Canis lupus familiaris: one gene and its partner. Each later gene encodes a partner of the first gene's protein in a complex. Links are inferred from orthologs where the notes say so. Each region holds a gene or a part of one and is shown in the gene's direction. Other genes may lie near its edges.

Region 1 (6,558 bases):
CCCTGACGTCTGTAAATATTCTGAGCAGCCAGCCCACTGCAACACCCCACCCTCCTCCCAGCTCAAGATTGAGGATTCTACAATCTATGTTTTGTCATTTTGGCTAAGTGGCATTTCACCATGACAAATTTTCTACGGGGTACTCTCTTCTGAGAGCTCCATGATGTTTTGGGAGCACTAATTCAACTCCACACCAAGTGTCGCTGTCCCTCACAAATGAGGGGCAGAAGGAGCATTACATCAAGCTCTGGACACAGGGCCACCCCTCTACCTCAGCCTTTCCTGGCTTCCCCACAAGCCAGGGGCCAGCCCAGCCTCACAGTGGCCCCCGCTGCCTTTGTGCTCAATAAAGGACGATGGAGTACTCCCACCAAGATGTACCCTGAGTGTCAGTAGCCACCAAGAGATGGTGGACAGCCTTTTTTTTTTTTTACTTTTAAGTGTGCATGTATCATTTTTGCAAATCTAAAAAAGAAAGTTAAGGGGGGGAACTACACTGATAACCTGGGAAGACTGCTTCCTGGGGTGACCTGGGGTGACCTTGTTTCCGCAGAGGCCATCACCCAACCCTATGGTCTGGACCAACAAATGCCAGATTCTGCGGTGATGCCCTCACTCACTGACGTGTTGTCAAAGGATGGACCCAGTCCCTGAACATCTGGAGCAACAATGACAAGTGTGGAACCACTTCTAAAAGCCCTCCAGTCTCCCTGCCATGGGCCATTTACCTCCAGACATGCTCTGGAGGCACCTCGTTTCCCCACAGAAGTCCTCAGAAGTAACAAGCACACATCTTCTGTGGGCAGGCAGCAGAGGTGCCTACAGAGAGCTCACCCTCTGATGCAGAAGCAGGCACGGGAATGAGACCCCAAGATACCACACAGAGTTACATCCACGGTGAAATGGAATCCAAAAGCCCACAAAAAGAGGTCACAAAAGAAGCATGAGGCCATAACAACAGTTTAGGGGCTGAGGGGCCAAAACAGAATTGACAGCCCGTTTCCTTCATTCAGGAAAGGCTGCGGTCACTACATACCAGCGCAGGCAGTGGCAGCAGCCCAGTCTGAGTGGCCGGAAGCCTGTGCACATGCCAGTAACACGAAGCCGCAGGACTGAGGCTAGTGGTCAAAGGCCGGCTAAGGTGGAGGCACCAAGGCAGCCCACCCACCACACGGGAGCACTAGGATCCTGGAGACAGGGGACAGAACCGCTGCTGTGTCCTCCTGCCTCCGCCCCATCAGACAGGTCACCCCAGGATCCTGAGACAGTGGCCCAGGTGGAACAGAGGCACTGGGACCTGGCCCTGGCTCTGAGTGACCTTGGGAACACCACCTGCCCCTCAGCTGGAGTGTTCTTAGCTGTGGACAGCATCTGACCAATGAACGTTTGCCCAAAAAGGTTCCCCAGAGGTTTAACAAGCAAGTTCGAGAAAGCATTTCCAAAGTGCTACCAGCTGCAGGTATCCCTTATAGCTGCCATGGCGTCACCACTGCCTCATGGAAGAGAGCTCTGAGCCCAAACAGCAGTCAGCAGGTCGGGAACAGGACGCCAGGCCAGGCCTGGGCCCAGCATGTGATACCCCTGCTGGAGGAAAAGGCTCGGGGACTGGTCCAAGGGCAGGAGGCTCACTCTAGGGAGGCCGTGAAGCACCTGCCACGCTGGGGTCGGGGAGGGGTCCCCTGCCCAGTCCCCCTTCGATGCCCTGACCAACGGAGCCACCCCAGAAAAGGCGTGAGCCAGCACTTGCCTACTCAGACCTCGGCGGTCAGCCGGCGGCCCGGACACCGGCCCCGGGGAGGCGGCACCGTGACTCAGGGCTTCAGAACCGTCTGAGGCCGTAGCCCACCCACCCCGCAGCGACCGCGCAGCTCCCAGCCCCGCCAGGCTGCCTCCCCAGCGAGGCCCGCCCGGCCTGCCCGTGGCCCCGCTTCCCATCCTGGCGGGGTCACTGGACACGCCTTCCAGGAACCCATGGGGCTGCGTCGGGGGCCGTGTGGGGTCTCTCGTCGGATTTCCACTCCACGCCTCGGGAAAGGGAACCAGGCAGGGCGGGAGGTGCGGTCCTGCCCCTCCCCTCCCCGCCCGCGCCCCCGGACCCCGCGCCCCCGGTCCCGGGCCGGCCCTCCCGGGAGGGAGTCCGCCGGCCCGGCCGCCGACCGCACACTCACCGCCTCCGCCGCCGCCGACTTCCGGGTGCCGCGCCCGCGCGCCCCCGCCGCCGCCCAGGCCCCGCCCCCGCCCCCGCCCAGGCCCCGCCTCCGCCCCTTGAGCGCTCGCCATTGGACTGCGCCGCCAGGGGCGGGGCCGCACGCCGCGACCCCAAGCGCCGTTGGCTGCGCGCGCTGTCGCTCGGGGGCTGCAGCCCTCCCGGCGCCCCGCCCCCGGGGCTGCGCCAAGCCTCGGGCTGCGCGGGCGTCTGGGGGTCTCGTGACCCCCGCGGCTTTCCCAGCTCCCCAGCCCTGAGGACGCCTGCGCGAGGTCGCTGCCCCTTGCGGCCGCCCCAAGGGCATGGCTTCGCGGACCCGTTAGGGCGGCAGCCTGAACTCCGGGGGCGGTAGGTCACCAAACCACCTGGCGGTCTTCGCTGAGAGCGATAGGGGGATGCCCACTTCCGGACCCGCCCCTCAGACCGGGTCCTGGGCCACACCCTGTACTGGCTCCAGACCTGGCCATCCCTACCTTTTCTTTAAGGCCCCCAGTTGGGTTTTGCCTCTGCCATTCTGGCCTTTGCACCGCCTCCACCCCAGCCCCGCAATTCCTAGCGCACACAGGAAAGACCCTGGACCGGGCACTCCAGACCCACCCAGCCACTCTGGCCTTTGCACCGCCACTCCACCACCACTTCCACCACCACCCACCCTACCCCGGAATCCTGGCACACTCAGGAAAGACCCTGGACCAGGCACTCCAGACCCACTCAGCCACTCTAGCCTTTGCACCGCCACTCCACCACCACTTCCACCACCACCCACCCTACCCCGGAATCCTGGCACACTCAGGAAAGACCCTGGACCAGGCACTCCAGACCCACCCAGCCACTCTGGCCTTTGAGCTCACTTAGAGGCTGTTCTGCAGGTCCAGGCCCTAGGATGAAGAATTGGACCACCCTCAGCTGTAATGAGTGAGCAAGAGGGCAGGAAGGGGCACTGACTGGGGCCCTCCCAACAGGAGAGAGGCATTCACTGCGCTCCCTGCCTTCAAAGACCTCTAGGCTGTGTCTGGGGCCTGAATGCAGGGAGAGTGGAGAGTCAGGGGACAAGGGCCCAGGGCCTACTCCCAAGTGGGCGCTCAGCAAACTATGACAAGGATGACAGTTATGCTAAGAATAGTAACAGTGTGCTAAGCACTCTAAACCCAGGGTCCCTGTCCACAGCTATTATTCCCCCCCATTTTACATATACAAAGGCTGAAGTTCAGAGCAGCCATGTCATTTTTTAAAAAAGATGGCAAATGGCAGTGGCTGGATTAGCTCCACAGTCCTGTGTGAAGCCCTCCTGTCCTGTTCCTGACTCAGAGCACTGATGTCCTGTGGAAGACTGGGGTTTAGAGAGGGAAGGGGCCTGACTGGTGATAGAAAAAGGCAAGTATTGAATCCAAACCTGCCTGATGCACCCAAATGCCCATTCCACCCTACTCTCTTGCCATCTTTTCTGTGCTCCTCCTGGAACCCAACAGAAGCCCTTTACAGACATGGACACCGAAGACTCCAGATGTCCAAGGATTCATGGCCAGCAAGTGGTCAACCTAGCCTGATGCATGGTCCTCCCTCCCCATATGCAGCAGCAGAATCCTCCTGAGCTGGTACCAGTGATTTCCCTCTGAGCAGCCAGACTTTGCAATCCACCCAAGAGGCAATAAAGTTAGATAAGCAAGACTTGGGGCCGAGGCTGTGTGACCTCACCCTGGGGCACAAGGCAGCAGTTGCAGAGTACTCTGCCCCCAAACCACTGGGCCACACGCCTCAGGGGAGGTGCTTTCCTGTTATCAACAAAGAGAGATGAGCTCATGCATGGGTTGGACAGAGGTTCAAATCCTGGTCTGCCACGAAAGCACATAGCTCTGGGCCAGCCCCCTTCCAGCTACACTCTTCCCATCTAGATGGAGCCATGTCAGGTACTCACTCTGATCTGTCTCCACTGACTCCAGTTGACAACATTCAGTGCTAGGGAGCAGATAAGATAGGATAAGATGGGTTTGGGCGGGAAGCTGAACTCTCGGGTATTAGGGATGCAAAGAGTTCACACATCCTTAGTTGGGGAGCTCACTACCTTATAGTCACCCTTTTTGGTCTCTAAGCATTTGCCACTGTTGAGAAGTTCTTCTTGACCTCCATCTGAAACCTTTTTCCCCCTATAGCTTTGCTCACATGTCCCCAGGATGTCCCCACAGAGCTAGGTGGAGGTGGGGGGAGAGGGAGGAGCCTAGGGTACTGGTCCCTGTGCCAGTGGTCACATGGTAGGGACTCTCCATCCTGTTTTTTGACTGTTTCTGACCCCTGCCTGCAGCCTGGGTTATGGTAGGCCTGCTGCCTGAGAATGGCCTTGAGTTCCTTGGAACCCACACTGTCCATCCTACTCCTCTGTATATAGCTGGTGACCCAGCTTGGGGGACGGAATCCTGCCTGGAGCGGGAGGCGGGGAGGCAGCCCCCACCTAGGACAATTTTGGAGCATGATTCTCCCTTTTGCTCTCTCACCAGAGCTCTGTCCAGCCCCTCCTGCCACCATCAGCAAGTGTGTGGGGAAGGGTTGATGCTGAATCACAAGCTCACTATGAGAATAGCGCTCCAGGAGGACCAGGGCCCAATGCCCCTGGAGAAATCCGTAGGGACAGTTTGACTAATGGAAGGAAGAAAATCCCTCCAGCCCACACAGCAGCTGGCTCAGAATGTCACCAATGGTGCAGCTCCATAAGACAAGAGCTAACTTGCTCACAGAGACTCCTGTGTTCCAGGGAAGGACACCTGCACTCCATCTTCCCAGAGATACAAGCAACATCGCTATGCCAGAGTGTCAGATGGCTCTCACCTCCAGTGCCCAACTTCAATTGACCAGCAGTGGCTGACTGGTTCTAAAAGGGTAGGATGGATTTGCTACGTGTGCTAGGTACCACAGGGGGAACCCAATGGTGGTACCAGTGGTGAGTTCTGGCCCTACATCACTTCACTTTCTTTGTTAAGAGGAAGCAACTTATGGGTGAACACTCTGGCTCCCTGATGTGGGTGGATAAGACATGAATGTCTGGTCTCCCCATTAATGCTGTCATGGGTCTGTGACTCCCTGGGTAGACATGGGGAATATGATGGGCTGAGAATCTGGTCATCTCCAGGTGCAACCAGGACAGGAAAGGCTTAGAACTAAGCCAGAGTCCCTGGCCAAGGGGCCATCATCTCATGAACCCCCTGAAATAAGCTCCAACATGCAGCACCCCTATTGGTACCCCACCACACACACCACAAAGTTAAGTGGAGCTGGCCAAGGATTATGGTTCCATTTGTGGTCATATATGTGTGCTTCGTTTCCCTCCAAGGACCAGGTGTCGGCTCTCCACCTGGCAGAGAAATGCGACTTGTGCTAAATTCCATTCAGGTGGTTGCGCCCCCTACAGTGTTTCTCCAAGACCAGAGGTAGGGTGGAGGAAACGGGACACCAGGAAGGAGGCTGGTGACAAACACACAAACTCCTCCCTCCACCCCTCCCGGACCCTGAGCTGCGGTGATTTGATAGAGGAGGGGAGGGCAGCCCTGCAGGGTGGGCCGAGCCGAGGGGTCCGTGGATTCAGGCCGGTGGAGGAGGACAACCTCTGGTTCGCCGAAAGGACCTTCCTGCCCCGAGAAACACGGCTCCCCATCCAGGCTCGCGGAGCCCAGGTCGGGCCGCGCCCCTGCTGCGAGAACCCCCCAGGCCCGGGGGTGACGGGCTAGGCTTGCACCCGAGTGACCTAAAGCAAGTGAGAACCTTTCTGAGCTTCGATTTCCCATCTGTAGAATGGGAAGGTAGCACAACTCTCCCTCGCAGAGTGTGCGAAGAACACAATTAGATCCGGACAGGAGGGCGCGGCGCGCCCGGTGAACAGCAGGCGCGGGAGAAGGATCCCTGCGAACTAGGGGCGGTGATGGAGGCAGCGAGGCCAGAGTCCTGGGAAGGGGCGCGGGGCTCGCCAATCCCCGCTCGGTGCCGGGGGGCCCGGGCAGGTCCTCGAACGCCGCCGAGAGGGGGGCGGCCCCGAGCCCGGCCGCCGCCGCAGCGGTCCCGGCAGGTGCCGGGGCCTCGGCCACTCCACGGAGGGGCCGGCGGTCGGCCGGGACGGACACCCCGGGGGCCCAATGGGAAGCCGGCGTCTCCCAGCGCCCGCCCAATCGGCGCCGGTTGCCGGGCCGCCCTGGGTCTCCCGACCAATGGGAAAATTCGCGTTCGGCTGGGGCGGGGCGGAGGGTCGCGTCGCCGGCCAGACCCGCTTTGCGCACGGGCCGCGCGAGGGGCGGGGAGGGCTGGCCCGGGGCTGCACGCTGGGCCCGGGAGGGGTCCGCCCCCGCACCCGCCCGAGTTGAGGCCCCGCG
Region 2 (6,202 bases), on another chromosome or scaffold:
ATATATTTCTAATATTTTGTTTCAATTACAGTGATTTTTAAAAATTAAAATTATAAAGAAGTATATGGAGTAAATTGTGAAAATCTACTTCAGTCTACCTCCCCCAGTTCCTGCTTTCTCAGAAAACAAATTTGTATTATATACTTTCAGATCTTCTATGCATTTACATACATATATACTTGCATGCTTATATTTTAAAATAGGATCACACTCTGCATATTCTATTTAATACATTTTGGAAATCTAGATTACGGCAGATCTTTTTTCTTAAATGCAGCATAGAATTCCATTTTCTTTTTTTAAGATTTTATGTATTAGAGAGTGAGAGAAAGAGCACGAGCAGGGGGAAGAGGTAGAGGGAGAAGGAGAGGAAGAAGCAGACTCCTCCCAAGGAGCCTGATGTCACGACTCAACCCCAGGACCCTGGGATCATGACCTGAGCTAAAGGCAGATGCTTAACTGACTGAGCCACTCAGGCCTGGAGGATTCCATTTTAAGGATAAAGTATACTGTAATTTATTCAGCCTTTCACCTATTGATGAATTGTTAGGTTTCTAATTTTCTGCCATTAGTAACAGTGCAATAGCAGTGAACATTTGTGAGTATTTCTGTTGACCAGTTTCCGGAAGGAATTTTAGCAGGGTCAAACAATATGTAAACATATATATTTTTTTACATAGTTGAGATTATAAAGCATCTGTGATCCTGGTTCATGAGATTATAGCATATGTAGTTCTTCATGTTGTTAAATATTTATGTAATTTTAAAATTGTGTAATACTCTTTAATAAAATACCTTTTGAAGAATATATAGCTTCATAAATCTTTGTCTGAATTTCAGATCATCTCTTTAGGGCACATAATCTGAAATGGATTTACTATATCAGAAGGCATGATACATGTTTCCAGATTGCTTTCCAGAAGTACTGTATCTACTTTCACTCCTCTAGGAGTGGTTGTGAACCCTGAATATTAGCATTGGCTTATCCTTACTGTTTAATTTTCACTGTCTTGGTAGGTGAAAAATGTTGATTAATTCTGGTTTTAATTTCGATTTCTGATAATTGATGAAGTTTGAACATTTCTCAGACAACTCTCCTATATCCTCACATCTGCATTCCTCCTGTATTTAATCTGTTATCACGTCCTGCAGAGTCCACTGCTTTCAATGTGTAGATTACATCCTTCCTTTCTTTTTTATTTATTTATTTTTAAAAATATTTATTTGAAAGAGAGCCCACACACAAGTGGGGGGGAGGGGGAACAGAGAGAGAGGGAGAAGTAGACTTCCCACTAAGCAGTGAGCTCCAGGATGTCTTGACTCAATCCCCGGGACCCTGAGATCAGGACCTGAGCCGAAGGCAGCTGCTTAACCAACTGAGCCACCCAGGGGCTATCCTTTCTTTTTTAAAACTGTTGCCTTAGGTGAAATCCTTATTGCCAAAAAGAGGTTGGGGTTATAACTGATCCTGCTTGTGTCACACCAGCCCCCTCTGTTTGAGTTCCACACTGTTGCCAGGGTGATCTATTATTTGAAAAGGCTCTGGTTACCTCACTTTCCTCCCCTCACTCCCTTACCCACTCCCTTACCCATTCCCTTACCCTCACTCCCCTACCCCACTCCTCTGTTTTAAAACCCTTAGAAGACTCTTAACGTTTGTCTATCAAGTAAGGCCTTTGGGATCTTACTCTCTACCTTGCCAGCCTTAACTTCTTGCCTGGGCTCATCCTATTTTATGCTCCATTGTAATTTTTAAAAATTTATTTGTGGATCCTTGAACTGGTGAGTCTGTTTAAACAATTCTGTGCCAACTGTTAGAATTGACCAACTAGTCCCTGTTTTATACCACCTTTTCACGCTATACAGAATTTTGTCATAGCAGGAATAATGTTTATTTGCCCTTTTGCCTTTAGTAAAGATGTATAATGCCCCTGTAGGACTATAAACCCTTTCTTGGTTTATTGATCCTTGTATCCCAAAGCCAAGTACTGGACTTGCCAGTTGAAAAATATAAAATGAATGTATGATCACCCTTAATGTCTTTTTCCCATTTATTGCTTAGGCCTTAATATTTCCTTGATTTTATTAATTGGCATGAGTTCATTATATAAGGATATTAATGTACTGTTGTGTCTTCTCAAGTGTATTGTCTTTTAATTCTGTTTAATCTTACCTTTGATGTAATGAAGTTTTTCATTTTTATGTAATCAGGTATAGCTATCTCGTATTTGTTCACAGCTTCCAGTGATTTTGCTGCTGATTTTTTATGCCTTTTGTGTTCTATGATGTTAATATATGTTCAATATAGAAAACCTAAAACATAGAAATGTCCAAAGAAAATACTCCTTTAATAAAAAAGTTCCCATAAGCCTACTGCCCAGAAATAACCACTATTAACGGTATTCAACACATAATAGGTATTGAGTAAATAATCTTTGGATGAATGAATTAAAAATTTGGTGCAGTCTTTTTATTTATATGAATATTTTAGAACAAAGCTATCCGTTTGAGTTTTATATTATTGGTTTGCTTTTTTCTCTTACTATGTTGTGAACATTTTTCCATGACAATAGTCTTCTAATTTTTTTTTTAGCTACACTGAAACTGCATTGAGCCAAGCTTGCCACCAAGAGCCCAACAATCATCATGATGCTGAGCACGGAAGGCAGGGAGGGGTTCGTGGTGAAGGTCAGGGGCCTACCCTGGTCCTGCTCAGCTGATGAAGTGATGCGCTTCTTCTCTGATTGCAAGATCCAAAACGGCACATCAGGTATTCGTTTCATCTATACCAGAGAAGGCAGACCAAGTGGTGAAGCGTTTGTCGAACTTGAATCCGAAGATGAAGTGAAATTGGCATTGAAGAAGGACAGAGAAACCATGGGACACAGATACGTTGAAGTGTTCAAGTCCAACAGTGTTGAAATGGATTGGGTGTTGAAGCATACAGGTCCGAATAGTCCTGATACTGCCAACGATGGCTTCGTCCGGCTTAGAGGACTCCCATTTGGCTGTAGCAAGGAAGAGATTGTTCAGTTCTTTTCAGGGTTGGAAATTGTGCCAAATGGGATGACACTGCCGGTGGACTTTCAGGGGCGGAGCACGGGGGAGGCCTTTGTGCAGTTTGCTTCGCAGGAGATAGCTGAAAAGGCCTTAAAGAAACACAAGGAAAGAATAGGGCATAGGTACATTGAAATCTTCAAGAGTAGCCGAGCTGAAGTCCGAACCCACTACGACCCCCCGCGAAAGCTCATGGCTATGCAGCGGCCAGGTCCTTATGATAGGCCAGGGGCTGGCAGAGGGTATAATAGTATTGGCAGAGGGACTGGGTTTGAAAGGATGAGGCGTGGTGCCTATGGTGGAGGGTATGGAGGCTATGATGACTATGGTGGCTATAATGATGGCTATGGCTTTGGGTCTGATAGATTTGGAAGAGACCTCAATTACTGTTTTTCAGGGATGTCTGACCATAGATATGGAGATGGTGGGTCCAGTTTCCAGAGCACCACAGGGCACTGTGTACACATGAGGGGATTACCTTACAGAGCCACTGAGAATGATATTTACAATTTTTTCTCACCTCTTAACCCCATGAGAGTGCACATTGAAATTGGACCCGATGGCCGAGTTACTGGTGAGGCAGATGTTGAATTTGCTACCCATGAAGATGCTGTGGCAGCTATGGCAAAAGACAAAGCTAATATGCAACACAGATACGTGGAGCTCTTCTTGAATTCTACTGCAGGAACAAGTGGGGGTGCTTATGATCACAGCTATGTAGAACTCTTTTTGAATTCTACAGCAGGGGCAAGTGGTGGTGCATATGGTAGTCAAATGATGGGAGGAATGGGCTTATCCAACCAATCTAGTTATGGGGGCCCTGCCAGCCAGCAGCTAAGCGGGGGTTATGGAGGTGGGTACGGTGGTCAGAGCAGTATGAGTGGATATGACCAAGTGCTGCAGGAAAACTCCAGTGACTATCAGTCAAACCTCGCTTAAGTAAACAATACTAAACAGCTATTACAAAAATAAAATCTCTGCATTTATGGGAGTTGTAGAATGGGAGGGATGTCTAGTATATCCAGTATGATTGGTAAATGGGAAATACTGATTCTGATCACTCTTGGTCAGCTTCCTCTTTCTTTCTTTCTTTCTTTCTTTCTTTCGTTCTTTCGTTCTTTCGTTCTTTCATTCTTTCCTTTTTTTTTTTAAGAAAACAAAAGTTAAGTTTAACAGTTTTGCATTACAGGCTTGTGATTCATGCTTACTGTAAAGTGGAAGTCAAGGTTTTACAACTTTAAGCTCAGTAATTTTGAACACTGAAACATTCATCTAGGGTGTAATAACAACGTTCAGTATTGACCATAACTGTTAAAACAATTTTCAGCTTTCCTCAAGTTAGTTACATTGTAGGAGTATACCTAAGCAGTAAGCATTATTTAGGTTAAAGCAGTTTCACTTATGTTAAATGTTGCTCTTATACCACAATACCTTGAAAACTTTGGATGCATGTTGAGAAACATGCTTTTCTGTAAAACTCAAATATAGGAGCTGTGTCTACGATTCAAAGTGAAAACATTTGGCATGTTTGTTAATTCTAGCTTTTTGGTTTAATATCCTGTAAGGCACGTGAGTGTACACTTTTACTTTTTTAAAGATCTGGGACAATTTTGAGATGTAATACCAATACTTTAGGAGTTTGGTCATGTTGTTTGTATGAGATTCTGAGACTTTGATTTAAACCTTTCCTTGTATTGTGATTTCCATTAGATGTATTGTACTAAGTGAAACTTGTTAAATAAATCTTCCTTTTAAAAATGAAAAATCTTGTGCAGCTTGATTTCTTTTAAAAATTTTATTTATTTGAGAGAGAGAGAGGCAGAGAGATCAAAGAAGGAAAAGCAGATTTGCCGCTGAGCCGAGAGCTGGATGCAGGGCTCAATCCCGGGCCACTGAGATCATGACCTAAGCTGAAGGCAGACATTTAACTGAGCTACCCAGGCGCCCCAACAGCTTAATTTTTTAAAAATGTTCCATCATATGAACCATTTCTTTGATACAAGTCCTCTGCACTTGAAACTTATTTTTTTAAGATTTTTATTTATTTATTTGATAGAACAAGCAGGGTGGAATGGCAGGCAAAGGGAGAGGGAGAAGCAAGACTCCACACTGAGGAGGGTCCCGGACATGGGGCTTGATCCCAGGACCTTGAGGTCATGACCTGAGCCAAAAGCAGATACTTAACCCACTGAGCCACCCAGTGCCCCTGCCACTGAAATTTAAATTTAATTTTTATAAACACACATTAGTACCATCATACATAAATTGTTCACTGTATCATTATTTTTAAGATCTATGCCTAAAAGTGGGATTGTTGAGTCAAGTGTACCCACATTTTTAAGGCTTTTGATTTGCATTGTCACATTATGGTACTCTTTGCACTGCCCCCCTCCACCATGATGCATATTATTCTTGATCTTGGCTAATTTATTAGTTGAAAAATGGTATCCCGTTGCTATTTTAATTTGTTTAATGAGGTAGAGTATTATTCTGTTTCTAAACTCTCCATGTCCACAGGACTATTGGGCTTCTCTGGAAACTATACTTTATCAAGACAGCATTCTCCAAAAGCCAGAAAGTAAAAACAAATCCCCTTCCTTTCATTGAATCATATATGGAAGATCTAAGGCACCTTTATATGTTCTAAAAAAGAAGCCTATGTTATTATATAAGTAATTCAGTCTCCTCCATGAATTTATTAATAGTCTCTAAACACTATGAGGTTTTTCAGGGCATTTAAAGCTTGTTCTTAACCATTGGTTCGCATACCTTAGTGTGCACCAGAATCATCTGTGGGGCTTCTAAAAACAGTGGTTACTGGGCCTCACTCCTAGAGTTTCTGAAATCTGGTGATTCTGGGTTTGTGTTTAAGAATCTGGGGCACCTGGGTGGCTCAGTGGTTGAGCATCTGCCTTCAGCTTAGGGCATGATTCCAGGGTCCTGGGATAGAGTCCTGTGTCGGGCTCCCCACAGGGATCCTGCTTCTCCCTCTGCCTGTGTCTCTACTCTGTGTGTGTGTGTGTGTATGTGTGTGTGTGTGTGTGTCTGTCTTATGAATAAATAAATAAAGTCTTTAAAAAAATCTGCTGATGCTCCTGGTCTCATGACCACATTTTGTGACCCTGTGCGGCACTCTCTAATGGCT

What was found.
Region 2: ARVCF (region 1) and HNRNPH2 share a complex: the UniProt entries of both Homo sapiens proteins name them as parts of the ribonucleoprotein complex. The link is inferred for Canis lupus familiaris from reciprocal best matches to the Homo sapiens genes ARVCF and HNRNPH2.

The regions. Positions count from the first base shown.
Region 1 is NC_049247.1:29,463,952-29,470,509, forward strand, and holds the start of ARVCF (armadillo repeat protein deleted in velo-cardio-facial syndrome), read left to right. Parts: upstream 1-2,412; 5' UTR 2,413-2,554; intron 2,555-4,798; exon of another isoform or gene 4,799-4,952; 5' UTR 4,953-5,077; intron 5,078-6,558. UniProt on the Homo sapiens protein: Contributes to the regulation of alternative splicing of pre-mRNAs.
Region 2 is NC_049260.1:75,729,010-75,735,211, forward strand, and holds the end of HNRNPH2 (heterogeneous nuclear ribonucleoprotein H2), read left to right. Parts: intron 1-1,563; exon of another isoform or gene 1,564-1,782; intron 1,783-2,593; 5' UTR 2,594-2,646; coding exon 2,647-3,996; 3' UTR 3,997-4,822; downstream 4,823-6,202. UniProt on the Homo sapiens protein: This protein is a component of the heterogeneous nuclear ribonucleoprotein (hnRNP) complexes which provide the substrate for the processing events that pre-mRNAs undergo before becoming functional, translatable mRNAs in the cytoplasm. Binds poly(RG).